Linked DNA regions of Alligator mississippiensis. The protein of the gene in region 1 purifies or fractionates together with the protein of each later gene. This does not show direct contact. Links are inferred from orthologs where the notes say so. Each region holds a gene or a part of one and is shown in the gene's direction. Other genes may lie near its edges. The genes, in order: DNAJC11, ARMC1 and IMMT.

The links.
Region 2: the proteins of DNAJC11 (region 1) and ARMC1 purify together in Homo sapiens (affinity purification with mass spectrometry; 4 studies listed by BioGRID and IntAct, counting the BioPlex papers as one, with this or other methods). This does not show direct contact. The link is inferred for Alligator mississippiensis from reciprocal best matches to the Homo sapiens genes DNAJC11 and ARMC1.
Region 3: the proteins of DNAJC11 (region 1) and IMMT purify together in Homo sapiens (co-immunoprecipitation; 3 studies listed by BioGRID and IntAct, with this or other methods). This does not show direct contact. The link is inferred for Alligator mississippiensis from reciprocal best matches to the Homo sapiens genes DNAJC11 and IMMT.

The regions. Positions count from the first base shown.
Region 1 is NC_081836.1:18,708,059-18,717,851, reverse strand, and holds the start of DNAJC11 (dnaJ homolog subfamily C member 11), read left to right. Parts: upstream 1-5,084; 5' UTR 5,085-5,120; coding exon 5,121-5,192; intron 5,193-9,793.
Region 2 is NC_081826.1:64,686,938-64,696,730, forward strand, and holds the start of ARMC1 (armadillo repeat-containing protein 1), read left to right. Parts: upstream 1-5,238; 5' UTR 5,239-5,396; intron 5,397-7,773; 5' UTR 7,774-7,798; coding exon 7,799-7,984; intron 7,985-9,793.
Region 3 is NC_081825.1:14,761,039-14,770,831, forward strand, and holds the start of IMMT (MICOS complex subunit MIC60), read left to right. Parts: upstream 1-4,705; 5' UTR 4,706-4,794; coding exon 4,795-4,839; intron 4,840-9,681; coding exon 9,682-9,755; intron 9,756-9,793. Other genes in the region: MRPL35 (large ribosomal subunit protein bL35m), read right to left, coding at 152-320, 896-929. UniProt on the Homo sapiens protein: Component of the MICOS complex, a large protein complex of the mitochondrial inner membrane that plays crucial roles in the maintenance of crista junctions, inner membrane architecture, and formation of contact sites to the outer membrane.

The DNA.
Region 1 (9,793 bases):
TGCTTGGCCAGATAGGATGGGACTGTGGTCAGGGCCAGGATTATGGAGTGGTTGCAGGGCAGGGCCAGGGGCAGAGCTGCAATCCACTCCCAGCATGTTCCTGCCCCTGGATCTAGTGCCTGTTGCAAGGATGTGCAGGGAATGGATTGTAGCTCTGCCCCAGGGCCTCAGCCCTGTGCTAATCACTACCCCGTGATCCCATTCCCTGACCTCCTGAGGCCCCATCCCATCTACCAGGCCAAGCAGCCCTGACCACACAGGTCCCAGGCAGGTCTCTATGGAGATCCCACCTGCCATCTGGTTCTTCTGGCAACCCTGATAGTGGGTACATGGCAGATGGCCCCGGATGCCTGGGCAGCAACATTGGCAGTGGCATCTGGAAGGAGTTGCTACCGCTGGGCTGCTGGGAAGTGGAGTCTGGCTGCTGTGCTGTCCCAGCCCTGCTGAGTGCAAGGACCAGCTAGATAGCCCACAGCCCGGGCTGTCCTCACCCTCACCATGCCTGGACCGGGTGTGGCCAAGGGACCCACTGGAGGCCAGATAAAATCCCTTGATGGCTTGGATCCAGCCCTTGGTCAATATTTTGCCCACCCCTGCTCTTGGGAGTGCTACTAAGACCTCTAGTGCAAGGGAGTAGTGCCTGTATTGAAGGCACCTCCTTGGGCACACCCTGTGTATAATCAGCTAAATGTACCCTCACACTAGTGGAATAGTGATAACCGTGCCTAGAGCCTCATCCTGGACTCACCTGCCTTTTCTATAGGTCTTCATCTGGGCTAAACATCCAGTATCTGGTTCTGGGATTGGTGAATCTAAATGCACACCTTTCATTGGCTGCAAAGTGAATGGTTAGGGCTCAAATGGACAGGAGAATCTTAATATGGATCAACAGGCACTAAGCTCCAGGTGCCTGGCAGTGCATCCTTTTTGGACAATGACAGGAGCCACATAGCTGAGTTAGCAGGCAGAGCAGGGCAGATGCAGCACTCTCCAGCTATCGAACCTCGTCTCTGCTGGGTAAAGGTTGCGGCGTCCCAGAGCGTGCATCCTGCTATTCCACACCAGAGGCTGCACATTAAACTATTTTGCGTGGATAATTTACTAGTACCAAGTTTCCTTCCTCCCAGTACTTCACCATCATCATCCACTAACCCTTCACCAAAAGACTCATGGCGAGAGTTTCGTAGATTGTGCTGACAGGTCTGAGAAGCTGGAAGCCGGTAGCCAACAATTTCCACATGAGCAGCCTAGGTGTGACGGTTGCATGACTCTTGCTTGGCAATGGGAACATGAGGTCTTACTCAGGCGACCAGGCAGTGCTATTTAGGGAGGCCCCTATAAAAGTTGAGATAAAAAAGGTTCGCCTCTCACCAACTTCTGGCTAGTTTCCCAGGATCAGCAGGATCTTCTTTTTAAGTGGGAGAAACATAACAAAAATGGACAGAAACTGACAATTGGATGCTGGAATGTTTGTACACTACTTGACTCAAAGGAAAATTGAGCTTGCAGAAGAACTGCATTAGTAGTGAAAGAGCTACACAGGTGTCAAACAAATATCGCTGCCTTATCTGAGACTAGACTACCTGACAGCGTGCTTAGAGAAAAAAAATACACTTTCTACTGGTCAGGTTACAAGGCAGACCAAAACACCAACCTACAATGGGTAGGACTTGCAATAGCAAACTCCATTGCTAATAAACTACCACAGCAGCCTGTGTTAATATCTGAGTGCCTAATGACACTGCAGATACTACTGTCCCACAATGACTTTCTGGCAGTAATAAGTGCCTACCCCCTAACACTACTTGCTGCCGAAGAAATGAAGACTCAGTTCTACAACCAGCTGAGTGACACTCTAAACAAAACATACCCAACAATGATAAAATCCTACTACTCGGCAATTTTAATGCACACATTGGAAATGACAACACCACTCGGAACAGAGTCATGGGGAAATTCGGATGTGGGTCTTTAAACACAAACAGAGAATTACACCTAACACCTTGCACAGAGTTTGACCTTGCTGTTCCAAATACCTTTTTCAATATGCCAGAAAAGTGGTTCTATTCTTGGCAGCACCCTCTGTCAAAATGATGGCACCTTCTAGACTACGTCATCATTTGTTGCAATGACTTGAGGGATGTTTACATTACCAGGGCTATGCAAGGTGCAGAATGCTGTATGGATCACCAGCTTATTCATACTCAATTGAACATCAGGATTCACACTCCTAGGCAGAAGGTTACTCCAAACCTGAACCAACGTGTTGATGTTTCAAAACTTTGCATGGAAGAGGGGAGATCCCAGTTAACAACTTCCACGCATGCCACACTATCAAACTGTGCCAATGCAAGAGCAAGCAGAACTGTTGATGAAAGGTGGGGTGCCTTTCAAACTGCAGTGCAATCAGCAGCTAAAAAAGTCTTTGGTGTCCTAACTCGACAAAATGTGGACTATTTTGATGCAAATGACAATATTCAAGCACTCCTTGTGACCCATGAAGCCATGAACAGAGTTAAACTGAACAGTCCCCCCCCCCAATCTCTCTTGTGGCTATAGAAGCCTTCAAGAAATCAAAATCTGCAGTGCAAAAAGAGCTGTGGAAGATGGAGGACACTTGGTGAATAAACAAAGCAACAGAACTACAAGCTCCTGCTAATACTAATAAAACCTGTGGTTTTTTTCAGGAGTTAAAGTGCATTTATGGACCTTGAAGAGCTAATACCTGTCCAATCCTGGCCCTCATGGCACCACCCTGCTGACTGAGCACAGTATATTAGAAAGATGGAAAGAACATTTTGCGATCCTCTTCAATCATCACGAGTCAAGTGCAAATGATCAAACAGACCCAACTAAGCAAAGACCAGTTCAATATGAACTTGAAGATCCACCAACTCTGGAGGAGACTAAGAATGCACTTATGGAAATGGCAAATGGAAAGGCAGCTGGAGCTGATGAAATCCCAGGTGAAGTCTTTAAATACGGTAGTCCTACATCTCACAAAGCTTTGCTAGACCCATTTACTTTTTACTGGGAAAATGAGGCTTTGTCCCAGGATTTCAGAGATACCAAAATCATAACAATCTACAAGCAAGTGCAAAGGAGACAGACATGAATGTGGCAATTATCATGGCATTTTGCTCCTCTCCATCGCTGATGTACTCCCTGAATCCCAGTGTGGTTTTCATTCATCACGCAGCACTGCCAACATAGTTACTCTATGCCAGTTACAGTAGAAAGTTGCCAAACAACAAATGCCCCTGTACATTGCATTTGTCAACTTTAGTATGGCATTTGACTCTGTTGAACGCTCTGCTCTCTGGTGCTTTCTTGCAAAGTTCGGCTGCCCAGACAAACTAATAAACCTCATATGCTACTTCCATGACAACATGCAGGCCCATGTATCAGTGGGTGCTGACTCATCTGCTGCCTTTCCTGTAGCCCATAGGGTCAAACAGGGCTGTGTGCTTGCCCCTGCATTACTTACTCTGTTCTTGGCTGGAGCGCTAGAAGTTGTTGCACATACTATCACTACTGGTATCACCCTAAGAACACAATTTGATGGCAGACTTCTAAACCTCTGCCGATTCAAGGCTAAATGCAAATCCCAACAAAGTAAAGTAGGATATACTGTATGCCGATGACTTAACATTTGTCACCCTTTCTGAGAATGATCTGTAACTTTTACTGAATTCCTCTGCCCATGCTGCATCCCTTTTTGGCATCCATTAGCGTGAAGAAAACCAGAGTCCTGTACCAACCATCTCCTGGCATAGACCTATCACCTCCATCACTACCAAAAATAAAACTGAACAGCAGCCAATTAAACAACATCAAGTCCTTTTGCTTCCTAGGTAGCAGAGTTACTGATGATACCAGTATTGACAAGGAACTTTCAGCACGCTTAAAGTCAGCTGCCTCAGCTTTCGGTTGCTGACAAAAAAGACAATGGACAAGATGGGGGGGTCAAAGCGTCTACAAAATGCCAAGTTTACATTGCTGTTTTGCTCCCTTGTCTCCTATACTTCTTAGAGAACTGTCCCTTTTATTGTGACTGTATCGAAAAACTTAACTGCTTGCAATAGGGCCATCTACGCAGCATAATGGGAATTAAACGGTCTGACAAAATCACCAACAACGAAGTACTATGGCTGGCAGCCATGCCAAGCGTGGAAGCCATGCTAGCACAGAGGCAAATGACCTGGGTCGGGCACGTCATACATATGGACAACAATCGACTGCCTAAGAGAGTTCTGTACGGTGAATCTGACAAAGGCAGTTAGCAAGGTTGGCCATCCCAAGCTCTGCTACAAGGACTGCCTTAAGCGGCATATACAGTCTGTCAGGCTGGAATTAATATCCTCGGAGGATACGGCCCATGACAGGCAAGCTTGGGACTCTGCTATGAAGGAAGCAGAATGAGCAACAGACCGTCATCGCGCTTCCTTGGCTGACAGGAGGAGGGAACGTGGACACCAAACTGCCCTGGCACCTTTCCTAAACCCCTTATGTGGAAGCTGATTTGCAGTATCGGTAGTAGTCAGACCCAATGCGAGTGATAGTCATCATCACACTGCACCCTCACATCTGGCCACGAGTCTTATTTCGGGGCCATTACGTGTGCTCTTGTAAGCACGTCGATTGCGCCAAAGCCCTACAAACCAGCCCGGGAAAGATCTGCCTTGGACGCTGCGGAAACCACGGGACTCCGCAGCCGCAGCCGCGCGGCGGGGCGCGGAGCGGGGCTCGGCGGTGGGGAACTCGGCTGCGCAGGGCGGGAGGCAGCCGCGGGCGAGGCCTGCAGCGGCGGGGCAGCCCCCGAGCCCGGGCCCGGCCGGAGGCGGAGACGCGGCGCCCGCTCGCAGCAAGGCGGAAGCGGCCGTGACAAGCACTGTCCCGGTTGCGGCGGCGGTGGCGGCGGCACCCGCGAGGGACCAGCCCGGAGAGGCCTCGCGCCGCGTCCGCCGCTCTCGCCTGCACCCGGGCCGGGCCTCCAGGCGCGCCTGCGCCCTGCTCACCTCGCCTCCCCCGAGCCGCCGGGGGCGCTGTGGCGGCGGCTCGGCCGTGGCCCGCTCGGTCCCGCGTCGCTCCTGCTCGGCCCGGGGTGAGAGGTCGGGAAGATGGCGGCGGCCTTGGGCGAGGAGGCGCCCGACAACGAGGACTACTACTCGCTGCTGAACGTGCGGCGGGAGGTGAGGCGCGGCCACGGCTCGTCCCGTCCCGTCCCCTCTCGCCTCCGCGCTCCCCCGGGGGGCTGCCGCGCCTTGCCGCCCCCGGCACGCGGGACCCGCGTGGGGCAGGGGCAGGGGCAGGGCCCGGGAGGTGCCCCTGTGGGGCCACGGCCACCCCCGGCAGCGGGCCCGGCTCGGGAGGGAGCGGGCGGAGCGGGGGCCCGGCCAGCCCGGGTCGGCTCTCCTCGGCCCGCGCTCCGTGGTGCTGCGTCCCGCACCGAGCCTTCGCCGCTGCCCTCTCGGGAGGTGAAGCTGGGGCTGGGTTTGGGCGCGGCCGTGCGGTGCCGCGGATCCCAGGCCTCTCATGGACAAGTACAACGACGTGGGGGCATCTGGAAATGAGACCAAGCTGAAAGTGCCCGTGACGCTCCAGGGCAACGTGTGCGCGGAGGCAGGGGTTGGTTAGCAGAGAATTAAGAAGGGAACACGCATTCCTTGGCTTGCATGAAAGTGCAATGCCTGCGGGGATCTCACTTACAGATCAAAGCCTCTTTCCCAAAACGCTCTTTCCTATGGGAGTTGTGTGGATACCTCATTTAATGGAATGTGTGGTATTTTCTATTTATTTTAGATAGTAGACTTACTGAGGCCTTTTTAAAAAATAGAAATTCCCTGCAAAATGGCCAACTGTCAGTGAGCATTAGCATTTATTTCCTTTTCAAGTCCAAAGGGAGGTAATGCCTATCGATTTGATGCGGACAAGGTAATCTGGGAATTGAAGGACAAAAGGAGAAAGAGGATTTGCATTTTGGAGGTGCAGTTTGGTGACTGTTCTGCTTGGTGACATGTAGAGATGGCATAAGAGCATTGCTAGTCATGGCATTTCACAGGGCCCTGACATGGTCAACTGCTCCTGTTGTTTCCTGGCTCCTCTCCCTTGGCATGCTAGTTATTAACCTTTGACCTCTACTCCTGACCCCATTTTCGTCATTAGTTGTCCCAAGGATAGAAGGATTGTGGGTTAGGCTACATGGGGGGCAAGGAGAAAGGGATTTGGTGGTAGGGGTCTGCTACAGACCCCCACATCAAGGGGAAGAAAGAGATTCAGGGCTCCTGAGGCAAATCTCGGAGACCATAAAAGCTAAAGAGGCGGTAGTCATGGGGGACCTAAACTACCCGGACATCTGCTGGGAATCACAGACGGCAAAGTCCCACCGCTGACGCAGGTTTCTAACCTGTGTACAGGACCTCCACCTGACTCAGGAGGTACACAGTCCCACTAGGGGGAATGCCATACTGGATCTGGTATTGGCAACGGGAGATGACATGGTAGCGGACCTCCAGTTCGGTAGCCATCTGGGGGACAGTGATCACCTGATAATAGAATTCACCATAAGACGGCGAGTGGGTAAGGTAACTAGTAGGGTGAAAGTGCTAGACTTTAGGAAAGCTGATTTCAGTGAACTCAGGCATTTAGTCAAGGACGCACTGCAGAGTAGGAGATTTGAAGAGATGGAAGCCCAAGAAGGGTGGCTTTGCCTTAAGGAAACGATCCTTCGGGCACAAAGCAAGACGATCCCCGAGCGAGGCAAAAGAGGGAAAGGGGCCAGGAGGCTTCCCTGGCTGACCAGAGAAATCCAGGGCAGCCTAAGGGACAAAAGGGGAGCACATAAAAAGTGGAAACAGGGAGAGATCACCAAAGATGAATATACCTCCTCTGCTCGCGCTTGTAGGGAGACAGTTAGATGGGCCAAAGCTGCCATGGAGCTGAGGATGGCAACCCAAGTAAAAGACAACAAGAAATTGTTTTTTAGATATATAGGGAGTAAAAGGAAGGCCCAGGGAGGAATAGGACCTCTACTAAATGGGCAGAAGCAATTGGTGACGGACAGGGGGGACAAGGCTGAACTCCTCAACGAGTTCTTTGCCTCAGTGTTCCTAAGTGAGGGGCACGACAAGTCTCTCACTGGGGTTGTAGAGAGGCAGCAGCAAGGCGCCAGACTTCCATGCGTAGACCCTGAAATGGTGCAGAGTCATTTGGAAGAACTGGATGCCTTTAAGTCGGCAGGCCCGGATGAGCTCTGTCCAAGGGTGCTGAAGGCACTGGCCGACATCATTGCAGAGCCACTGGCAGGAATATTTGAACACTCGTGGCGCACGGGCCAAGTCCCGGAGGACTGGAAAAGGGCCAACGTGGTCCCCATTTTCAAGAAGGGGAGGAAGGAGGACCCGGGCAACTATAGGCCAGTCAGTCTTACCTCCATCCTTGGCAGAGTCTTTGAAAAAATTATCAAGGCTCACATTTATGAGAGCCCGGCAGGACAAATTATGCTGAGGGGAAACCAGCACGGGTTCGTGGCAGGCAGATTGTGCCTGACCAATCTAGTTTCTTTTTATGACCAGGTTACAAAACGCCTGAATGCAGGAGTAGGGGTTGATGTCATATACTTAGACTTCAGGAAGGCCTTCGATACGGTATCCCACCCCATACTGGTGAACAAGTTGAGAGGCTGTGACTTGGATGACTACACAGTCCGGTGGGTGGCGAATTGGCTGGAGGGTCGCACCCAGAGAGTCGTGGTGGATGGGTCGGTTTCGACCTGGAAGGGTGCGGGCAGTGGGGTCCCGCAGGGCTCGGTCCTTGGACCGATACTCTTTAATGTCTTCATCAGTGACTTGGACGAGGGAGTGAAATGTACTCTGTCCAAGTTTGCAGATGACACAAAGCTATGGGGAGAAGTGGACACGTCGGAGGGCAGGGAACAGCTGCAAGCAGATCTGGACAGGTTGGACAAGTGGGCAGAAAACAACAGAATGCAATTCAACAAGGAGAAATGCAAAGTGCTGCACCTAGGGAGGAAGAATGTCCAGCATACCTACAGCCTAGGGAATGACCTGTTGGGTAGCACGGAAGTGGAAAGGGATCTTGGAGTCCTAGTGGACTCCAAGATGAACATGAGTCGGCAGTGTGACGAAACCATCAAAAAAGCTAATGGCCCTTTATCGTGCATCAGCAGATGCATGACGAATAGGTCCAAGGAGGTGATACTTCCCCTCTATCGGGCGCTGGTCAGACCGCAGTTGGAGTACTGCGTGCAATTCTGGGCGCCGCAATTCAAGAGGGATGCGGATAACCTGGAGAGGGTCCAGAGAAGGGCCACTCGTATGGTTAAGGGCCTGCAGACCAAGCCTTACGAGGAGAGACTAGAGAAACTGGATCTTTTCAGCCTCCGCAAGAGAAGGTTGAGAGGCGACCTTGTGGCTGCCTATAAGTACATCACGGGGGCACAGAAGGGAATTGGTGAGTATTTATTCACCAAGGCGCCCCCGGGGGTTACAAGAAATAATGGCCACAAGCTAGCAGAGAGCAGATTTAGATTGGACATTAGGAAGAACGTCTTCACAGTTCGAGTGGCCAGGGTCTGGAACGGGTTCCCAAGGGAGGTGGTGCTCTCCCCTACCCTGGGGGTCTTCAAGAGGAGGTTAGATGAGTATCTAGCTGGGGTCATCTAGACCCAGCACTCTTTCCTGCCTATGCAGGGGGTCGGACTCGATGATCTATTGAGGTCCCTTCCGACCCTAACATCTATGAATCTATAAGGCGTCAGTGACATCATTGGTGGCCCCCATTACTAAAGGGGGCTTGCGGTTTCCTTGGTGACCTTGGATCTGTGTTTCCTATTGACATGTTTAAAAACCTTTTGGTTTTTGGTCATGTTTCAGGGTCCTTTACACAGTAACAAATAGTAAAGCGTAGGGGCTGAACCTAGATTATGGAGTAGAAAGCAGGGTAGATTTGCACTTTATAAGCTAACTGAGGTGCACGTACATAAATACATACATGTATGTATGTATAGCAAGCTTTCATGAGCTGAAGCTCACTTCGTTAGTTGCTGTAAAAGGATGATGTACAGGGTCTTGAAAAGGTGGACCATGCTGTTGTATATGTAAACTAAAGTATAACTATAACAGGGAGCCAGGGGCTTCTGTTACTTAATGGGAAATTTGCAGCAGGCAGCTGAGTAGGAGCTAGCTGTGCCACAACAAGCAGGCTGATCTTTGAGCCCAAGGGCAACCCTTGTTCTTAATTAGTGTCACTTGCCTAGAAGGGGCAGTTCTCCTGGGCACATAAGCTCAGCACTAGTAGTCAGAGGATTCATTCTGGCCCTGCAGAAAGCAGGGAGAGGAGTCCCACAACAGGATGGCTGAGAGAGGAACTGACCAGCACCCAGGCTGCCCTAAGGTGCAAGTAGAAGGTTAAAGGGGGCTTACAGCCTGAAGGTGGGAATTATCGACCCAGGGTAGTGAGAGTTTTGTTCTACAGTCAGTGTGCTTATCTTTATTTTCTAGTTTAGGCCAGAGTCTGGGATGTGGCTATTGAGGGAGGTCTGGAGGCCATGGAGGAGTGCCTGACAGGTACTAAGGGTCAAGGACCTAGAGGGCTGTGGACTGGAGCAGGCTGATTCTGAGGGCCAAGGCTAGCGGGAGCAGTCTGACTTGGGGTCATGGATCCTGAGAGCAGAAGTCTGGGTTATCGGAAGCAGCCCAGCTGGGGAGCAGGGGTCCAAACAGCTGAGAGAGGGCCATAGCTGTCATGTAACGGCCAAGGACCCAGAGAGTGG
Region 2 (9,793 bases), on another chromosome or scaffold:
TTGTCAAACATGCAGCAACCTAAAAAAAATAAGGGAATATGTTTTAAATTTGAATTAATGCATTACGTTAATAATGATAAAATTTTCAGAAGTACATTTTTGAAACAGCTGGTAGCTTTGTGTGTCACAAACCTTCCAAATTAGGTTTATATTCTTCATCAGGAAATTAGAGCATGCCTCTATATGTGATCATTAATACTGTCAAATGCTCCAAACACATGAAATGAAGTTAGGCCCAGAAGATAGTGTATTAAGCATCAAACACTCTACAGAAGGGGAATAAACCTCTGAAGATTTAAGACTAAATATAAAACCTGGCAAAGTCCATTATCACAGCAGCAACACAGTAAACAGCCAGGAAGAATCTTTTGATGTAGAATCAACTTTATGACAATCTTTCCCAAATCATTTCAGACCAGGGTCATAAAACATGTCTAGTCAGCAGAGATCAGCCACTGAAATCTTTTCATAGTTACATAATTTGCAGCTTCCAAGGCTGAAAAGGCAAAAATATTCCAGATACATTTCTGAAGGCAGTGGAGTGTCTGAATATAGAGGCGAAAAAAACAAAAACAAAAAGAGAAAGAGCAGCATAACTAAGTTACTGGGATACTGCACATTACAGAATCAATAAACCTTACTCGCTAAGGAAAGAGCAATTTAATGAAAAACCCTTCAGTGTTTAAGCACTTATGACGAGTCTCTGCTTGACACAGGGTAGGTTTACAAGGTATAACAATTCCTTGAAGCCATACCCAGGCTAGCTTGTATTTTGAAAGCAATTTGGTTCTGTCAGCTACAGGGCTATCCTGCTTCTGGCACCCAAGACAGTTTGATCATCTTTGTACAGAACTGTATGATGCCATAGACATACCCATACTTGTGCACTTTGCTAAGGGAGGTAGATGAACAGAAACCCTGAACTGCTGCTTTGCACTCAAGTACATCTAACAATGGTCTTTTCATTGGCAGTAGAATCACAACTTTATTTCTGTAACTATTTTGTACAAGTTATTATATCACGTAGCAAAGATTGGAAAGTGAAACTTGAATATAACCCCCCCCCAAACAATGCTCCTACCTCCCCCAAAACAGCAAAATACCCCACCAACATTCTCAGTGATTTTAGTAATGATTTTGGAGATTACTACCACCACAGAATGGTTTCAAGCTAGTGATCTATATGTGAAAGTATTCATGTCCTGTTTGTCTTCAGTCTCTCTTGAGTTACCACATTTCTACATTAAAATGTTATTTTCCAGATCAAATTAAAATCAGTGGGGGGGATATCAATTTTTATAGAGAATCATAGAGAAGTAGGGCTGCAAGGGACCTCCAGAGGTCATCTCATCCAAACATCCCTATCCCAACCATTCCATACAAACCATAATCTAAACTCTACATAAAAGACATAAGAATACATGCTCAAGAGATCCCGGGTAGAGGGCCACATGACCCGCTACGGAGGAAGACAATGCCCCCACAGTCCATACCAACCTAACCACACAGTAAAATTCCTCCCTGACCCCAAATATGGCAATTCGTCTGACCCTGAGCAGAAGGGCAAGATCCTCTAGCCAGGAAGCTTCAGCAGGAGCATTGGCACATCCCAGTCAAAGTACCCACACTTGGTTGTAGCCCACACCCAATCGATGCCTTTGGGAAGGCTTAAAAATACCTGGACATGTATAGCAGAAATTGGAAGGGGGCAAGCAGCAAAGCCCAGGAGCATGGGAAATACCTGTAGAAGAACATAGACACAGCTACATTTTGATTTAATAAAAGCTAGTTTTATCTTTTATAAAGATAAAATTTATAAAAGTTTATCTTTATAAAAGATAAAAAAGACACCACATCTCGTCCACCCAAATAAACTGCTGGCTCTGCCAGGCAAGAAAGAGGAGGTGATGCCCATGTGGGAGGGTTGATGCTGGGCTTTGCCTCCTCTCAAGGGGAGGGGGGGCACCACACTTCCCTGCACCTTGCCAGGCAATGACATGAGCCCCGAGCACGCGCGGCCTCGGGGCCCTGAAGGGGACCAAAGGGGCGGGGTCCCGGCCAAGGCCCACGGCGGCCTGTACCTCGGGCTGCGCCCTCTCAGCCTGGGCTCGGCTCCCTCAGAACCGCTCCCGCTCGCCCGGGCCGCAAGCCTGGGGCTGGGGTTGCTCCGCAACGCGGCGCGGCCTCCAGCCCGCCCGCCCGCCCCCCCCCGGACCCAGCAGGCGCTGGAGGCCGAACAGGACAGGGCAGGGCGCGGCAGCCCCCCGCGTGCGAGTTGTCGCTGGGCCCTGAGCTCACCCGCCGTGCAGCCGGGGCCTCCTCCGCTCGCCGGCTGCCCAGACCCGGCTCGCAGTGCAAGCCGCTCCAGCAGCGCAACGGCCAATCAGCGCCGCGCTTGAGAGAGGCGGGACTTAAACTCTCCCTGCCCCTCGCCCCAGTGCCAGAGCCGGGCGACTTACCCGACAGCCCCCGGGCGAGTTGCTCTCCCCTTCCTCACTGGGGGCGGGGCCAACCGTGCTCCCTTGTCACTGAAGCGGGCAAGCCAAGGTTCTGTCACGTGACCAGAGCCCTAGTGGAGAGACCCGATTGGTCAGTTCAGCAGTGATTAGTGTGACATCATTGCTTCATCTCTTTGGCAGTAGGGTTTGTTGGCACACGCGCAGGTGACGGGCAGATTCCCTGGTGGGGCTGCCTGGCACCATAGCTGAGGCAGGCAGACAAGTGCAGAGATGTGGAAGTGGGAGGGTTGCCCGGAGCCCTGCCCCCCTGCCCAGTCTCTGACTTTCCTTAAACTGGGAAATAAAAGGCTGAGTCTCCAGGTCCCCTGGTTGGAGGGAAGACTTGCAAAAGCTGTGGTGAGAGTAACTGGGTATGTCTACACATGCATTTATACCAGCTTAGATTTACTGCACAGCAAGCAGCAATAGGCCAGCATCTACACATGTAGGTGTTAAAGTGTATTAACACGTGTGTGGATTACCTTGGGACTAAAGTTAGCCCCAAGTCAGTCCACACACACAGTGTTACTGTGTAGTATGGTATCTATATGTGCATTACTGCGCAGTAACTAAATGGGTATAAATTGTATACCTGCATAATGCAGGTATCAAATTTATGCTCAAGTCAGCATATGGCACCATATTTACTGCACAGTAAATGTGGTAGGTGCACCCACTGAGAACTTCACAGAGCCTGAACTCCTCAAAAAGGGCCTATTCTATTTTCTTTAGTGGGGGTTAACCGAAAGAGAAGGCAGGGTAGTTTACCCCTTCTGGACTGTCAAAGGTAAGTACCATAAACTTTCATAGGCAGAGAGCTTCCTACATCAAGTGCTATTCCTTCTGAAGTAAGATCTCTGACTACCAAAACTTATGCTATACATTTCTGATGTAATTAACCCATAAGGAGCAAATCTACCCTGCCCTCTGCCTGACTTCAAACTTAACTGGACCAACTACCTCTTATTAAAAGAAGTGTCACTGATGACACCTTTTTGTCAATATCATTAATTATTTCCTTTCTCCTTGTATACAAGAAAGTATAATCTTATTAAACGCTCTCAAATATTACAACAATACGTATGTTTGAATAGGTAGTGTTTAAGAGTGATGTTGCAGCTGTGACGGTCCAGAAATTATGCCAGAGGCAAGAATGTCTTATGGTAATGTATTTTATTAGGCAACCTGTGTTGCCGAGATACAGTTAGACAAGCTTTCAAATGCAAAGCATTCTTTGTCTGAGGGCATCACTGTAAGACAAGGGTCAGCAATGTTTTTTGAGCAAAAAACCTGCAACCTCAACTTGTAAGATGTTGGTATGCCAGGGGCAGGCAGTGGGGGAGCTGCACGGGGCTCGATCCTTGTTGTGGCAGCGCAGCCCTAGCCCCCTCCCCACTGTCTGCCCTGAGGTGCACATGCCAAGCAAAATGCCCTTGCGTGCCACACTCTGGCCCCGATGTTGGGGGTTGCCTACCCCTGCTGTCAGAAATTCTTGCCTTTTACATCTGAATAGGTGAGTCGTAAACAGCACAAGACGCTTGCATTCTCTCAAGGTAGAGGCATTCGCATTCCAAACTTTGCAAAACACTGGATTTAAAGAATGTGTTTAAATTTGAAGTTATATTTAAATGCTGATAATGCAATTTTTGTTATGAAACCCAGGTTTCCAGAAATAATAAAGCTCCAATACAATGCAAAATGTTGCTTTTTGGCAGGCGAGGTGGGGTGTAGTTCACCTGCAACAGCTGTAACTGAACCCCCCCCCCCCCGAAAGTAGAAGAATTCCTCCAAAAGGTAATTTTTTTATACTAATAGAAATGCAAAAGACACAAAGGATCAAACAAGTAAATACAATTTCTAATCTGAAAAATAATCACCATTTTGAGTTGACAGTGAACTGTAAGAAAAACAGGCACATTTACAAATAAAAATAAGTTCTGCTAAACTTATTCTGCATTTCACTTGCAAAGCACGCAGATTCCACGCAGTTACCACATGTCTAGGGGCGTGCGTGACCAGTGTAGTGCCCTCCTGTTAGTGTATCCCTACCTCTGAAAAAAGGGTTTGTCAGCTTCCTATGAAACTGGACTGACACCAAGACTTAGATCTTCCCCAAGGAGAAGCAGCTTTATGGCCCTCATCACCTCAAAGCAAAGGAGTCAGATCCTTCCGGCATGCTCGGTAGTGGCAGGCTATGATGAAACCTCCCTTTTCCCACTATACTCTTCACTCTCCATTTTTTCAGCCTTGCCTGTGCAGATCAGCAGCCACCGGGGCCCACAGCAAAAAAAGATCCTACCTGTGCGATGTTACGTACTGATGTGAAACCCAGAAGGCTGCCTACAGATCCCAGCATGCAACGGCTCAATAAACGACTACAGACTGCAGATCCCAGCATGCAGTGCTCCAATAAGCGCTCAGGGAGTGCAGATCCTAGCATGCAATGACCCAGCCGTGGACAGAGCTCGAAAGGCAAAGCCCAAGCCGCCCAGAGCTGGAAGAGAGCAGCGCTCCGTTCGCGGTTTCCCGAGAGACCACATGGCCCGCCGCGCAAGTCCCCCGGCGCTGTGCATTCCGGGACATCTAGTTCGCTCCTCCCCGTTATTAGCATAGAGCCTACTCTACCCACAACGCCCTGGGGCGGGGACAGGAGAGAGGTCACATGGGGGTGGCCAATGAGCGCGCGGCGTAATAAGGCGGGATGCGAATGGCTGCTCGTTTCAGCCAATCAGGGAGCGGGGGGTGCGGAGGTGGCGGGGTTGGCGAGAGCCTCAGCGGGGGTTTTATGTAGCGAAGGGCCCGGCCCTCTCGTCCTTCCGCTGCTCGCCCCGGGCCTCCCGCTCGCAGGCCTCGCGTGATGGGCGCGCCGCGCTGAGCCGCGGAGATCTCGGTGCCGCGGTACGTGGCCGGCCCGGGCTTCGCCTGCCTGCGGGAGGGCGGGAGTGGTGCCCGCGGGGAAGCTGCTCCGGTTTGTGCCGCGCTGTGTTGGGGCCGGGCCGGCAGCCTGTGACCCCTGTCCCCCGTCTGTGTAAAGTTGTGAAGGCACCAGGGGCTGCAGGCGCCGCTGGGCCCCAGTCTGCCCACACTGAAGTCTCTGGGCAGCTCTCGAGCCGGGGAGTCAACCTCTTCGGACAGATGAGCAGTGCGGGGCTGGGCTAGGGTCAGTTCCCATGGCCTGGTGCCGCCTGTGGGCACCCCTTGCCCTGGCGGCTCTGGCCACGGAGTGACCCCACTGTGGGCAGGCCTAGACTTCTGTGCAGGGGGGTGCCTGTGGCGAGGTGCATTCTGCTGTAGAGTGCGACCCCTGGTTTTCTCCTGGTAAAAAAAAGCTTGAAGCATCAGTGACGCTCCAGGGCTGTGTTATGAGGTTTTAAGATTGAAGCAAAAACAAATGAAACATCATTGGGATGATCTAAAAGTCAATCTGCTGGGCTGTGAGAGAGGGGGTTTGACACCAGGGGTAGGTGGCACAGCAGACTTGCAGAACAGGGGATAGTTTGGCAGGTGGAGCATGAAGGCTGTTAAAAGGAAAAGAGGATTTTTAACTTCTGTGGAGTGAACAGTTTAGAAAGGATCGGGCAGTTTATAATGAGCCGTGGAATCAGTTGGCTCCCTTGGCCCTGCCTGACTGCAAATGTTGCTCTGCTGTTATGTGGTTAGTTTTAAATTTTGGGTGGCCCAGGAATCAAAGGAGGTGCAAGCATACCAGTGCAGCTCCTTTGGATCCATCCCTGGATCATGCGCCAGCAAGTGGGGTAGTATCATCTGGCTTGTGGGACTCCTTTCAGGTCTGGAAGTTTGGTGGCAGGAGAGTGGTGGCAGCATTAATTGCAGTGACTTGGGAAACAATTAACACTGCTAATGCTCCCCCGCCCCCAAATTTCTGGACCTGTGTGGAGCCCTGTGGGCCAGATGACATGGTTTGTTGGGCTGGATTCATCCCACGGGCTGGAGGCTGAGCGTCTCTGCTCTAGATTGTTCTCTTTCTGGTGTTTTGCCTTTTACAGAATAGAAATCATAATGTTTGCCTGTTTCTTCAGGTTTTATTTTTGAAAATTGTGCTTAAAATGCTTTGAAACTACAAAGTAATGACTGCATGAAACTTGTAGCTTATTTGATCTATATTAATTTTCTTGTCATGAAAAATTAACGTTTAAGTTGTTTGTGTTGTAAAGAAACATTAGTGACTTGAGTAATCACCACCAAACTGACAGTCACGTTACAGGAAAAATTGTACCTACAAAGTTATGATACAAAATAGAGTTCTGCCATTCTCGCTCTTGTCTCTTTGTTAGTGTCTGTTTTCTATATCTGGTATCTCTACATGCACGATCAGTTTCTTACTAAAAAAAGTTAAGAGCTTTAACAGAAAAACAAGAGAATTAACTTTAAAATGCTCTGAACAGCATGCTGCCTTTTAAATCAAAATGGAAAAGTAAAATTAACAGTGTCTTTTTATTCATACTCATGTGCATAAAAAATACATGAGTTTGGTGCTGAGAAGATCAGGACCATAAATTGCACTGAGGGTTCAGTCTCAGCAAAACAATAAAGGCTCTTACCTTTTGATCTCACTTTTCACATTAGACCCACTGTTGAGGGGTATCAGGAGTTTCTGGCTATGATGGGAAGTTTTATTTAAATAAACTTGTTAGCTTAACAGCATCAGACTAATCGTCTTCATTTGAAACTGAGTTGGTTCTGCTTGACTCTAGTAGAAGCAAGTTGGGCAATGCTTTTTAAGAGGACCAGGAGCAGTTGAATTGGTGTTGGATTATAGAATTTTGATATGTAATTTCTGAATAAGATAAAACAGTGGAGATGCCTGATGGAAAGGTAAAAGTTTTGGCCTGAGATTTCTTGTTGACAGTAAAAATGTGTTACAGGATCAGATAATGTGTGTTTCTTTACAAATGATCCTTTTTATAGGATATAGACTTAGAAATGTACATTTCTATAGAGCAGTGTAAGCGACAGTGTAGTTGTAACAAAACAACTGATTCTTCACCTGTAAGTATCAATACTATAAACAGTATTTCACTTGAAGCTTGACAGGCCTAAAATGATATGTGGGAAACAAATCAGTTAAGCAAATAACTCGATATGTGTGAATTCTAAAATTTCTGTCTTAACAGTGTATAGGGACCTTAAGAAGAATTCTGTTTGCGTTTACACTTCTAAGAACAAATTGGGGCATGTTGTTCTGGATTGGCTATAGTTTAATCAATGACTTGTTAACAATGATTTTTTTTATTAATGCACTTTTTTTTAACAGGTGTTTCTGTGTATGATACAGAAAAATGAACTCCACTATGAACTCCACTATGAGCGAGGAGCCTGATGCTTTAGCAGTAGTTAACCAGTTACGAGATCTAGCTGCTGACCCATTAAATAGACGAGCTATTGTTCAGGATCAGGGATGTCTGCCTGGCCTTATTTTGTTCCTGGACCACCCCAACCCTCCAGTTGTTCATTCAGCTTTGCTAGTAAGTAATCTGATTTGATCAGTAGGGACTAAGGGTTGTGTTAATGGTGTGTTACTTGCATCTCTTTCTTTTTATGTATTTAAAAAGACAAATATTTGCTGTAACAAATTTTATGTGAGATTACTCTTGCTACTGTATTTTGCTTCATGATAAGTGCTATAAAAGATAATTTGCAGCAACATACTATGTGGAGATAATTCATGGAGTTTAGAAAGAAACAACTGATTATAGATAAAGCAAAGTTGTTGTGTTTTTTCCCCCCCAGAACATGACCGTTTAATTTTGGGTTAAAAAGAGAAAAGCCAAAATTCAGCTTGTTGCATACAGATGTAGGAATGCATTTTGTGATGATGGTGCATTTGTGGTTCTGGATGGGTCATGTAAGCATTTTGAATCATAGAAAATATGGATGCAGATGATCTCAGGAGGTTTAGTCCATACCTGGGCCTCAAGGCAGGATCAGCTATCCCTAAACTATCCCTGGTGCACACTTTTTTTCTAAGTTGCTCTTAAGTGCCTTCAGTGATGCATTTTGAGAGCAGGTGAACAATCTTGTGTCAAGATGGCAGGGGATTGAGGTCTGTTATGGTTGGTATGGGAGAGGTGTGTGGAATTTGAGCAGCAGAAAAGCAAATTTATATTAAATATCAGATAAAGCTTCCTAACTGTAAAAATGAGGTAACAATGTTGTCTAGGGAAGTTGTGGAATCTCCTTTGTTGGAATTTTTTAAGAAGAGACTGGGTAGGAACCTGACTGACAATTTAGGAGGAGTGAATCCTACATCTGTAGTGTAGTCTGGACTAGATAACCCTTAAGGTCCCCTTGAAATTTATGATTTCACAGATTTTTCTCAGTCTCTCTATTCTAGTGCTTAACTTAAAACTGACTGTTTTAAAGTACTTCTCTGTGTCTAACTGAAATTTTCCTTGCTGCAATTTAAACTCTGTAAAGTACTTCTCCCATTCCCAGTGAACACGGAGAACAGTTTACAGATCTCTTCGCTGCATTCATCTCTGACATTGAAACCTGTTGTTATGCTTTCTCTCAGTCTTCCTGTTTGAAGATTAAACAAACCCACTCTATATTTCATTGTAACTAGGGGCCACTGGAATTCAGGCTCTGGTGGGTGGAAACGCGCCCTCTCTGCAAGTTTATCGGAGCCAATTTCAAGCTTTTCAGAGTGGACTCTCCCCTGCCTCTACCACTGAACAGCAACATGGAGGCTATTCTTTAGCTGTTTTAAGGAAGTAAAGCTCACCACTTATTAAACAATACCTTTTAAGTAAGGGGAGGGGGAAATTCCCCTCCACTTCCAGGCAGCAGCAAAGCAAAGCAGGTCTTGGGAGAGCTGTGCCAGGAGGGGGGGGTTTTACCCTGTGCCTAAAACTGGACTCAGCTTTTTGGCTGAAGCCTTTCCAGTACTGTGTCTTGCACTCAGCAGTCCTGTTTACACATGCCAAAAATGTAGTTTTCTGCTTTCTGTCCCCAGCAGTAGGACGTTGTTGGCTTATATGTAGTTTGTGTTCTGTTATAGCTCCCAGATCTCTTCAGAAGCGCTGCTGATAGCAAGTTAATCAACTAGAATTCATATACCATATATAGACAAATTCACCAAACTCTTTTGTTTCTCATCTTACTTCTCTCCACCCTTTAAAGAGTCAGATGAACAAAGAGAAGCCAAGCTATCAGGTTTTGATTTTTTTCTTTAAGACATTAAAAATCAGAAGTGTGCCTAACCACTTTTCTTAAATTTTAGTAAGACTTTGAAAAATAGGAACTTGAAGTTAGGTTCCTGGATTCATATACAG
Region 3 (9,793 bases), on another chromosome or scaffold:
TGAAGGAAAAGGTAACGCAAGGTGCTCGTGCTGCAGCAGGATCGTTGCAAGCAATCACCCACGTTCCACACCTTTGATGCCTTTTCCTATGGCTTTATTTTTTTATGCTCCGTGAAAAACCACATAACCTGGTCTATAAAACAGACCGTACCTGTTCACCAGGGAGGCGCACGGCAGGTTACCCGCAGAGGGCAGGGCTTTTGCAGCGGAGCAAACCGCAGGTGCCTGCCCGTAGCCCAGCCGCCGGATGGATGGTCCGGAGACCAGACGGACGCCACGGGAGCCGCTGTAGATTAGAGGGACGAGAGATCTGAAGACCCCTGTGGGAAGAGCAGACAACACCAGGAATTTAATTACAGGACAGCGGCAGGCGTGCCGAAACCGCCTCTCGGGCCGTGCTGCTGTACGCGGCGACGTTTGGTTGCAGACCTGTTCGTGCCGGCTCGGACACTTTTCACAAACCCAGCAGCGGGCAAAGCCTCCCTGAACTCCAATGGGGGCGGGAAACAGCGCCGGATATTTCCCCTGCTCCGGGATATTTGGCTTTCCTCAGTCCCCTTCGTGGGGTTTCCGGGCACATATTCCACTCACCGCTTCCCCAAATTACTTCCTGCCACCGGCCCCCGCCCCGGCTTGTACCTGCGCCACTCGCACGGCAGCGAGGCTCGAGCCGCGCGGGCTGGGGGCTTGTCACGGGCCCCGCGGCGGGGAGGGGGGGGGGGGCGGGAGGCGGCCCGGGGGCGTCCGCTCGGGACTGGACACGTCTGGGGGCTCCGAGCAGAGCGGGGCGGGGGCAGGGGGACGGACCGGGCCTTTCTCTTCGCTCCGAGCGACACGAGCGCGGAGGGACGGGACGCCCCCCCCGCCTCCGCCCGCGGCCTCTCCCCGCACTGACCCGACACACCGCGGAGCGCCCTGGCGGCCGCCATCTTGGCATCACGTGCTACGGCGGCCGCGACACACAAAGGGGCGGGGCGCACGGCCCTGATCAGCGGCTCCCCCCAGCGCCGGGCGGTGGGAATGCAAAGGCGGCCCCGCGGGCGCTCCCTCCTGCCTTTGTCTTCCGAAACCCCCGACCTGCAGGGCCGGGCCATGGGAGCTGGACCGAACCCATATTTTATTTTATTAAAGAAATTGTTCCTGTTCCCAGCCAAACCAAGTCCAAATCCGTGAGTCACTCCAGAACCATAAGTGGCTCTACTAGAACTGGCAACCATCCTCCACCCCCATCAGGGGCGTCAGATATTTCCAAATTCTTTGGCGGGTATCCTGGTGCAGGCCCAAGCCTGGAGCCTGGGGGGGTGGATGCCCCCGAGTTTCGCCTGCCCTCGGCCATGTGGCCGCAGGAGCAAGCTAGGGAGAAGCTTCTCTTTTCCATAAAATGTGTATTAAGCCTCAACACGTTGGCGGGTACTAAACCACACTGCCAGAAAAAGTTACCCCCAGGGAGGCTTAAGGAAAACTGCCTTCTTGGACCCAGATACATGGCGTTTCCCCTGCCAGGTAAGTATGGCCCAGTCCCATGTGTCGGTCTGGGGGTCTGATGTGGCCGCAGGCCGGGCTCCCTGTGCTGACCCAGCGGCAGGCCGGGCTGGCGCAGCGCTGCGTGGAGGATGGGACCTGTGCGTGCAGCTGGCCCGGCCCTGCGCGCTGCAATCGTCTGTACTTGCACAGTACAAAGTCTAGAGCCCAGTGCATCTCCAGACCTTATCTAATGCTTATACTGCAGGAAGGAAAGTGACTCAGGAAACATGCAGGAAAATGCTACAAATATGCCATGTGCATATTAGGGCCGCGCCTCCCCAGCAGGCAAGTCCCACCCGGCCGGGGCCCCACCCAATTTACCCCTGCTCCTGCCTCTGTGGCACTGTCCCTTGCTGTGGGGACCTCAGTCTAGCCCCGTCCCTTCCCTCCCCCACAGACTGACCTGCTGGGGTGGGGAGCGCACATGCGTGCATGGGGGCACTCAGTCCTCCACCCCATCCTTGGATCGACTCCAAGAGCCTTCAAGATCAACTCAGCTAGATAATCGAGTCCTTGCATAAAGGGCATGAGCACACCTGCAAGTTACCCTAAGGTTGGGTTTCATCACATGCCAACAGCTCTGCAGTAACTGCCCCTGTGTCTCCTCTTTCCTTAGGCTCAGCCCTCTTTCATGCCTGGCTCAGCTGCTGTGGATTCTCTTGCACTTACTATGGACTAAGAGCGCACACATGTAGTTTCCAAGCAGCACCTGATGCAAGGGAATGCCTCACTCTCCTTTCCCCTCACAGAGGCTTGTCGGTGTTTCTGTGCCCTTGGGCTCAAATGAGAGAAGAGCAAGTTTATCCCAAAATGAAGCCGACTAAATGTTATAAACATGGAGCAGCTCAAGGGCATCGTCAACCTGCAAAGAATGACAGTATTGCCAAAAAGAGCACGAGGTTTATTTTCTCCAGGTCTGTAATTATGAAGCAGTTTGTTCTCCCAGTCCCCAATACCTAGCTACCACTCCTGCTCAGACAGGCAGTGCTTTTACTCACCTCTTTTCACTTCTCACCCAGATGCTGCAAACACAAATGCCTGCTGAATCCAGAGTCTGCTGGACCTCGGCCACAGAAGCACCTTCCTTAAATCATAAACAGAGAGAAGTTGGGCTGGAAGGGACCTCCAGGGGTCATCTAGTCCAGTCCAACCCTCTGCCTGAAACAGGATCATCCCTATCCAAACCATTCCATAAATACCATAATCTAAACTTGACATAAGACTACCATCAACCCGGACACAACACAGACCTAGCACCCTAATCTGCCACGGGTAAAGCAGAGGAGCCAAGGCAGCCAACATCTTGTTCCTATGAAATTTTGTTAGTATATAACCAAGAGATTCTGGGTTGAGGGCCACGTCCTGGTTATAGAGGAAGGCAAAACCCCCACAGTCCAGCCCAAACTGAACATGGGGTAAAATTCATTCCTAGACTCAAATGTGGTGATTTGTCTGGCCCTGAGCAAGATGGGCAAAGCCTCCTAGCCAGGAACCTCTGGTTCCTTGCAGGAATATTGGCACACGCATCAACGACCCTGGTCTTAGCTGTAGCCAACATCCAATGTGTCTGAGGAAGGCTTAAACACACTGATGTGTAGCAGAACAGAGAAGGAAGGGGCAGGGGCAACCAGCGAAGCCTAGATGCATGGGAAATACCCACCAACCAGTGCTGCCCAATCGAACACCTCCAGTGATGGAGAGTCCACAACATCCCTGGCCAGTCAGTCTATTCCACTGCCTCCCTGTTCTAATAGCAAAGACTTTTTTTCCAGCCATGCCCCCACTACAGAGGAAGGCACAAAACCACCACAGTCGGTACCAATCTGACCACAGGGTAAAATTCCTTCCTGACCCCAAATGTGGCAATCAGCCTGACCCTAAGCACAGAGGCAAGCCCCCCTAGCCAGGAACCTCCGGTCCTTTGGTCCCAGCAGGAGCACAGGCATACCCCAGTCAAAGTCCTCAGCTTTGGCTGTAGCCAACACGCGACACCTCTGAGTGCTTTTAAGTTTTCCTTCGATACATGCAGCAGGGAGGGGGTGGAAGAATCAGCAAAGCCCAGAAGCATGGGAAATACCCATAGTTCAACACAGGCATCGCTATGCCTAGATCGTCCCTGGCCAGTGGCTGCCCAGACTCTTCTTGAACACCTCCAGCGATGGAGTCTATTCCACCGCCTCGCTAGTCTAGCGGTGAAAACGTCCGCCTGGACATCCAATCTAAAATTGCTTTGCTGCAACATCAAGCTGTTAGTTCACATCCTCCTCTCCGCAGCGAGAGAAAACGTGTGCTCCCTCTTCTCTATGGCAGCCCTTCAAAGATTTGAAGACTGCTATCCTCTCCCCTCTGAAACACCTTTTCCTCAAGCTGAACAGGCGTCGCTCCTCCAGCCCCTCCTCATGTGATATTGCTTTCCAAGCCCTTGACAATGCCCGTTGCCCCCTGCGCACCCTCATCCTCCAAGTGAGAATGACTGCTGCAGCAAAGACCAGAGCCCCCTCGTTATCATTTACGTCACGCAAGCGTCTCGTGCCTCAAACTGAACCCGCACAAGGACATGTGAGGTGCTGCCTGCCCGTTGGAGCCGACCATCCCTCTGCCGTGGCCTTATACCCAGGGCTCAAATTACACTTTGGCTCTCGTGGGGGAGGTGTGCAAACAAAAAAAATGACACTGGTTCATTGATTAACAAGTCCACGTAAGTGAAGGAGCCATGCGATCGGAGACCCCCCAGGCTGTGATTTTCAAATCTTACAGGAGAGCTCTTATGGGAGAGGGGAGGGGGGCTCAGCCCCCATAAATTGCACCCTGGTTGCCAGCAGTGGTGCTTTCACTTCCATGGGGGTAGGCAGCCCCTCATGCCCCCAGCCCCAGGGGGAGCGAGGAAGCCCCTGTCCCTGCTCAACAAGCCCTGACACTGCACTAGGCTGCACTCCCACAGCCCCTGCTTGGCGCCAGCAGTGCGCATGCGTTTTCCCACCGCGCTTTCCCGCATCTGTCGCTTCTGAGCCACGCTCTCATTGGCCACCCCGAAGCGGTTCGCGCGCATGCGTAACCACGCATGCTGGGCGGAGCCCGATTTGCATCCTGCCCGTTCTCCGAACGCTGATTGGCCGCTTCCTCTTGCCACTCACCGCCGGCGGCAGCCGGGGGCGGTGCCTACGCCTGCGCCTGCGCGCTGGGGGTCACGCTGAGGGGGCGGAGACAGCGCAGGCTTCGCGGCGGTTGCCTACCACCGTCCGTCACCCGCCGCGCCCTGCGCCCGGCGAGATGCTGCGAGCGTGCCAGCGCGTGGGGGTCGCGGTAGCCGCGCAGGTGAGGCAAGGCAGGGCAGGGCCGGGCCTGTCGCTGGGAGGTGGCCGCCCTTCCGCCCCCCGGCGGCCCATGGAATGAATCGAGCTTGTGGCTGTGAGACACCGGGGGCGGGATGCGGCGGCGCGTTCTCCAATCGCTGCTCGGCTTTTTCTGACTGGCAGGGGGTCGGCAGGCGTTGATTGGCTGCTGGGCTCGTGCTTGACGCGGGCAGCGAGGCGAACTATGCCGGGCGCATGGGAGGACTGAAGCGACTACAGGCCCTAGCATGCAACGCGCGCGCGCTTTTGCACCCGCGCTGCATGCTGGGGCTTGTAGTCCTGGCGGTGGGGGGCTCTGAGATCAGGATCTGGGAGCAGGAGGCGGCATAAGCACTGCGGGGGGGGCAGAGAGTCCGACCCCACAAGAGCCGAGGGTCACTAAAAATACCAGAGCGGCTGGACTCCTTCATGGCTCTGGAAGGACATGACCTTGCCTGCTTGTGACTTCCTGCCACTTCCGTTCTCCTGCTTCTGCTCCCAGCGCTGCAGACGGACCAGTCACGACCTTGGAGCCGTGAAAAGGCCCCGTGTCTCGGCGTGCACCGACGTCTGCCTCTTTATGTCATAACCTCTGCTGGCCCCAGGGCGCTCGTCTCTTGGGAAACACCAAAGTATCCTATAAATAGCAGAGCTCCTAATGTGCGAGAGCTGCTTCTGTTTGAGGCTGTGAGTTTTTTAAAGCATAGCCTCATGTCCTGTGACTAGCCTTGCCATCTCCATTCCTGAACAGGTACTCCTCGCTGAACGTCGTCCCAGTTAACAGCGTTTCATTATTATGTCGGTAATCTGTTACAGAAAGTACGCATTGAAAGTCGTGCGGTGTTTGGTTGTAACGTTGTTTGGCCGCTGCCTGCTAGTAGGTAACTACTGTGACATGATTGGATTCGCTTAACATCATTTCACTTAAAGTCGCATTTTTCAAGCATGTATCTACGACGTTAAGCGAGGAGTAGCTGTGACTTAATTCTCCAGGAGCCTGACCCCTGCTGCCAGTGGCAGGGTGGGGTCAGGACAGGGACCTGGCTGTTGTGACTGTCACAGAGAATTGTTGTTCCAAAAATTGGCCAACTGAAAATAATTTCTGGAGCTTTGAGCTTGTCTCGCATTGGGAGATTTTAGGAGCTTGGTGCTTTTTCTTTTTAAAGCTGTCTTTTAAACTTGTCCGGGGATCTTAAGCCTGTGTAGATTAGACAAGTGTTTGATTTGAATGTCATGCATCTTTCATTATAGAAGCGCATAAACTGAACTGTCCTGGGGTTTTGCTGCATTCTTCTGTGTACATTAGGGTTTTCCAACCGCAGAGCTCAGCAACGAGCAAAACAACCACTATCGAAGCACGATGGCTTCATAGTTCATGTGGAACCGCTTCGGAGCTGGCCAGCTGTTTTACTGCAGCAGCTCTTTGTTGCTGTATAAGGCTGCAGCGTTCTCCATGCCAAGTCATCTGACAACCTTTAAGGGGCCAGGCTTGTAAGCTGTGGAAAGTTTGAGCTGTGAGGTGGGAATATAGAATGACTCTGAGGCTGCTGGATGTGTTTCAGGAGTCTTAAACACACACACCCTTCCTTTCTGGTCCTGAGGTTTTTGAGTGAATTTTTACCAACTTTGGAAAGTCAGGGTTGAACTGTAGAGCTCAAAAATGGGGCTGTATTCTGGAATGTGGGTGTGTAAATCATCTCAGGGTTGCATGTGGCCTTCCCATTTATTTTGTTACTTTATAAATAAGTAGCTCTTAGAGATGAAGTTTGAAAGGAGATGGCCTCCACCTCCTTGACTTCAGAGGGGGGCTACTGCAGATGCCAGAAGCGCATGACATATTTGTAGCACTTCCCTGAGCGTTTCCTGAGTCACTCTCCTTCCTGGAATATAAATATTAGATAAGGTCTGGAGATGCTTTGGGCTCTAGACATTGTGCTGTGCAAATAAAGACAATTGCTGCCTCACAGAGATAACTGAGAAATAAACAGCTTTTTGTGGGGGGGTTGTTTGTTTTTTGCTTTTGGTACGCTTGCCACAAATTAAGCCCTGTATTTTCCCCAAGAACCACACTAGTCTCCGCCTCCTCCCTGATTTGCTGCTCTGCTCCTACCTCTGATCTGTGTGCCAACACACAGAGGCTCCCCATGGCATTTATGGTACGCAGGTTGGTCACCTCTGCCCCAGAGAATGATGCAGATTGATGGAGCTGTGCTGTCAGTTCAATTCTGTATCAAAAGTCATTTTTGGTATCTTGGCTCCTGTAAGCAGAAATGAAACATTTGTTGTTCTTGACTCACGAAATGACAACAAACAATCAGGAAGAAGCTTTTTGAAGTCTGTGGAGAGACCATCGTGTGTCAATTTAGATTTCCTGTCATTTTACGGCAGTGAAATAGTGGGACACGAGATTAACTAGTGACTTTATGAATTATTAATCTAGACTCGATGTAGTAACTGTTGGTCAACTGGACAAAAGAGCACAAAGCATTTTGTGAAACAATGCCACTGTTACCTGTCCTAGCAAAGGTGTTTTGTTCAAAAGGAGATGAGGAGCAGTCTCTGCTTACCAAAACACATCAGCATTGTTTTAGTAGGGAAGGTTTGCCTGGCTTCCACCTTTTCTTCACCTCTGCTGCATCTTTTAAGGGCAGTCAGTAAAGTCTTGTCCAAGTTAAGACTATGTCAAGTTGTCCCACCAGTGTACTGCGACCAATGGGAGCACTGATAGTGGCTGGTTGCAATAATTTCTACCCTGCAGTTGTCTGGGTCAGCTCTGAGCTGTAACTACTGCTAATACAGTGTTGGAAGAATTGCCGAAAGAACCCAATTCAAGGTAATAGCAGTTCTAAAGCTGTGTAAAAAGAGAGAAACTAGCTTTTCTGCCTGTGTGCAAGATTCTGGAACACTGTTTATCATGAAAATGTACAAACAGGTGTATTTCATTACTATATCTCCTTTGTATCTGGATCTGACTCACTGGGAGGTTGATGTAGGCACATTGTTATCTGTACCTGGTGAGTATGTCTGAATTCCAGCTGCGTGCTACAGGCCAAAGTTGTGAATGTTATGTGTAGACCAACAGTTCTCAGCCAAGGTGTCGCAGCATCCTGGGGTCCATTGAGATCCTTTCAAGGGTGTCACACAATGTTAGCGCTGTTAGATGTGCAAACGTGGTTCACAAGATAAACACAGATTTTCAAATAGGAATCCATAGTGTTAAAAACCTTCTGACCTTTGGTGGTCTTCCTGAGGAATTGCTCTATTCTTATTTCTGTTGTCAAAAAAAAGTGAGTGAACACGAAGGACTGGGGTTTTCTGAATCACGTGGCATCTTTGTAAAAGCAGGGGTGGGCAAAATGCAGCTTGTGTGGCCCCTAAAAAATTTAGAAAATTAATATTTATTTGCCCCTGGCTACCTGTCATGTGGCCCTCGATGGCTTGCCAAAACTCAGTAAGTGGCCCTCTGCCTGAAATAATTGCCCGCCCCGGTATAAAGTGATAAATGGAAAAGCCTCTTGAAGTAGTAACTGCTAAAAGAAATAATGACAAGTATTGTGTTTACAAAGGATCAACACCTGATGGGTTTACTTTCTGATGACTTTAATCATAAATCGTGCTTCCTGACTGCCTCATCATACACCATAAACTTCACTTATGTCTGCAGCCAAGTTATTCTTTATAAAGAAGCTTTGCCCAAGTAAGCAACTGCACTTCCTGTCACTGGGCACATAGATTTCTGTTGCTAATTAAAAGGAGTTGGATGCAGTTTTGGAAAGAATAAGAAATCAGTGCATTGTGTTCCTGATTCATGTCCTAACCTGTCTGAAGAATTATGGGACTAATATCATAATAGAGTAAGGATATCTTAAACCATGAATTTATTTCAAAGTATAAATCATCAAAATAGAAATTCTTTTTCTTGGTTACATTTCTTAGGATGCAAAGCTTGCCTCATGTCTAAACTAAATGGGGAGAGAAAGTGTTTTCCTTTGACCTGCATGCTTCACACAAGTCCTATACTTTTCCATTAGATATTAATTTCTTTGTCTTTTGTTAGAACTGCTAAGACGGAGAGGGTTTTTTTTTCTGATGACTTGGTTGGGCTGGTTTAACTGATCTTTCCCGTTAGCGTTTTCGTATTCAAATGAAATGTATTGGGAATGAGGACTTGACATAATACCATTGCAAGCTTTATTACCTAGCTTATTAAAATTTGAATCTAAAACTCTAATTGTTCATAAAGGGACTGACTTTCAGTATAGCTCTTCTAAGAAGATGGTAGCTTTGGTCCACAATCTAGAGTGTTACTGAACATTTATAGAAATGTTTTTGTCTTTAAAAGCAAATGAAAATCACTTCAAGATTTAGACATTCCTTGTCACTGTTTGCATCTTAAGTTATTGCTGAGTTATGTTGATGCATCAGAATCCTGAAGTGAAATAAGCTAGTCTAGTTGTACCATCCAAAGTGAAGGGCAAAATATAATCAGGCAGCAAAAATGGAGGAGATTCTCTTCCCCGCCCCACCCCAAATCATTTTGGTTTTTAATAGTTTATACTATTGGTAATATAAATCAAAGTTTTTAATTGTAGTTTTTTTTGTTGTTAATTTGAAAGTGATTGTAACGTCATTAGAGTAGACTCTTTTTATTAGGGGAAACTAAATCTTGTTTTGATGTTACTTGTTTTTTTCCACACCTCTTACTGATGCATTTTATATGTTCCCCAGAACATATATTTTTATGAGATTTGAATTAGGTTGAAAGTAGAACATTAAAGACTTTAAAAAAAGTTGCATGCAATATTTGATTCTCGCCTTTCTTTAGAATTGCCGATGTGGTAGATCTTCATTCCGTCCATCACAGCTGTGCCGTGGATATGCAACATCAGGAGAATCGGGGTATGTAGTGTTTCATAGGCAGTATTGACACTTCTGTT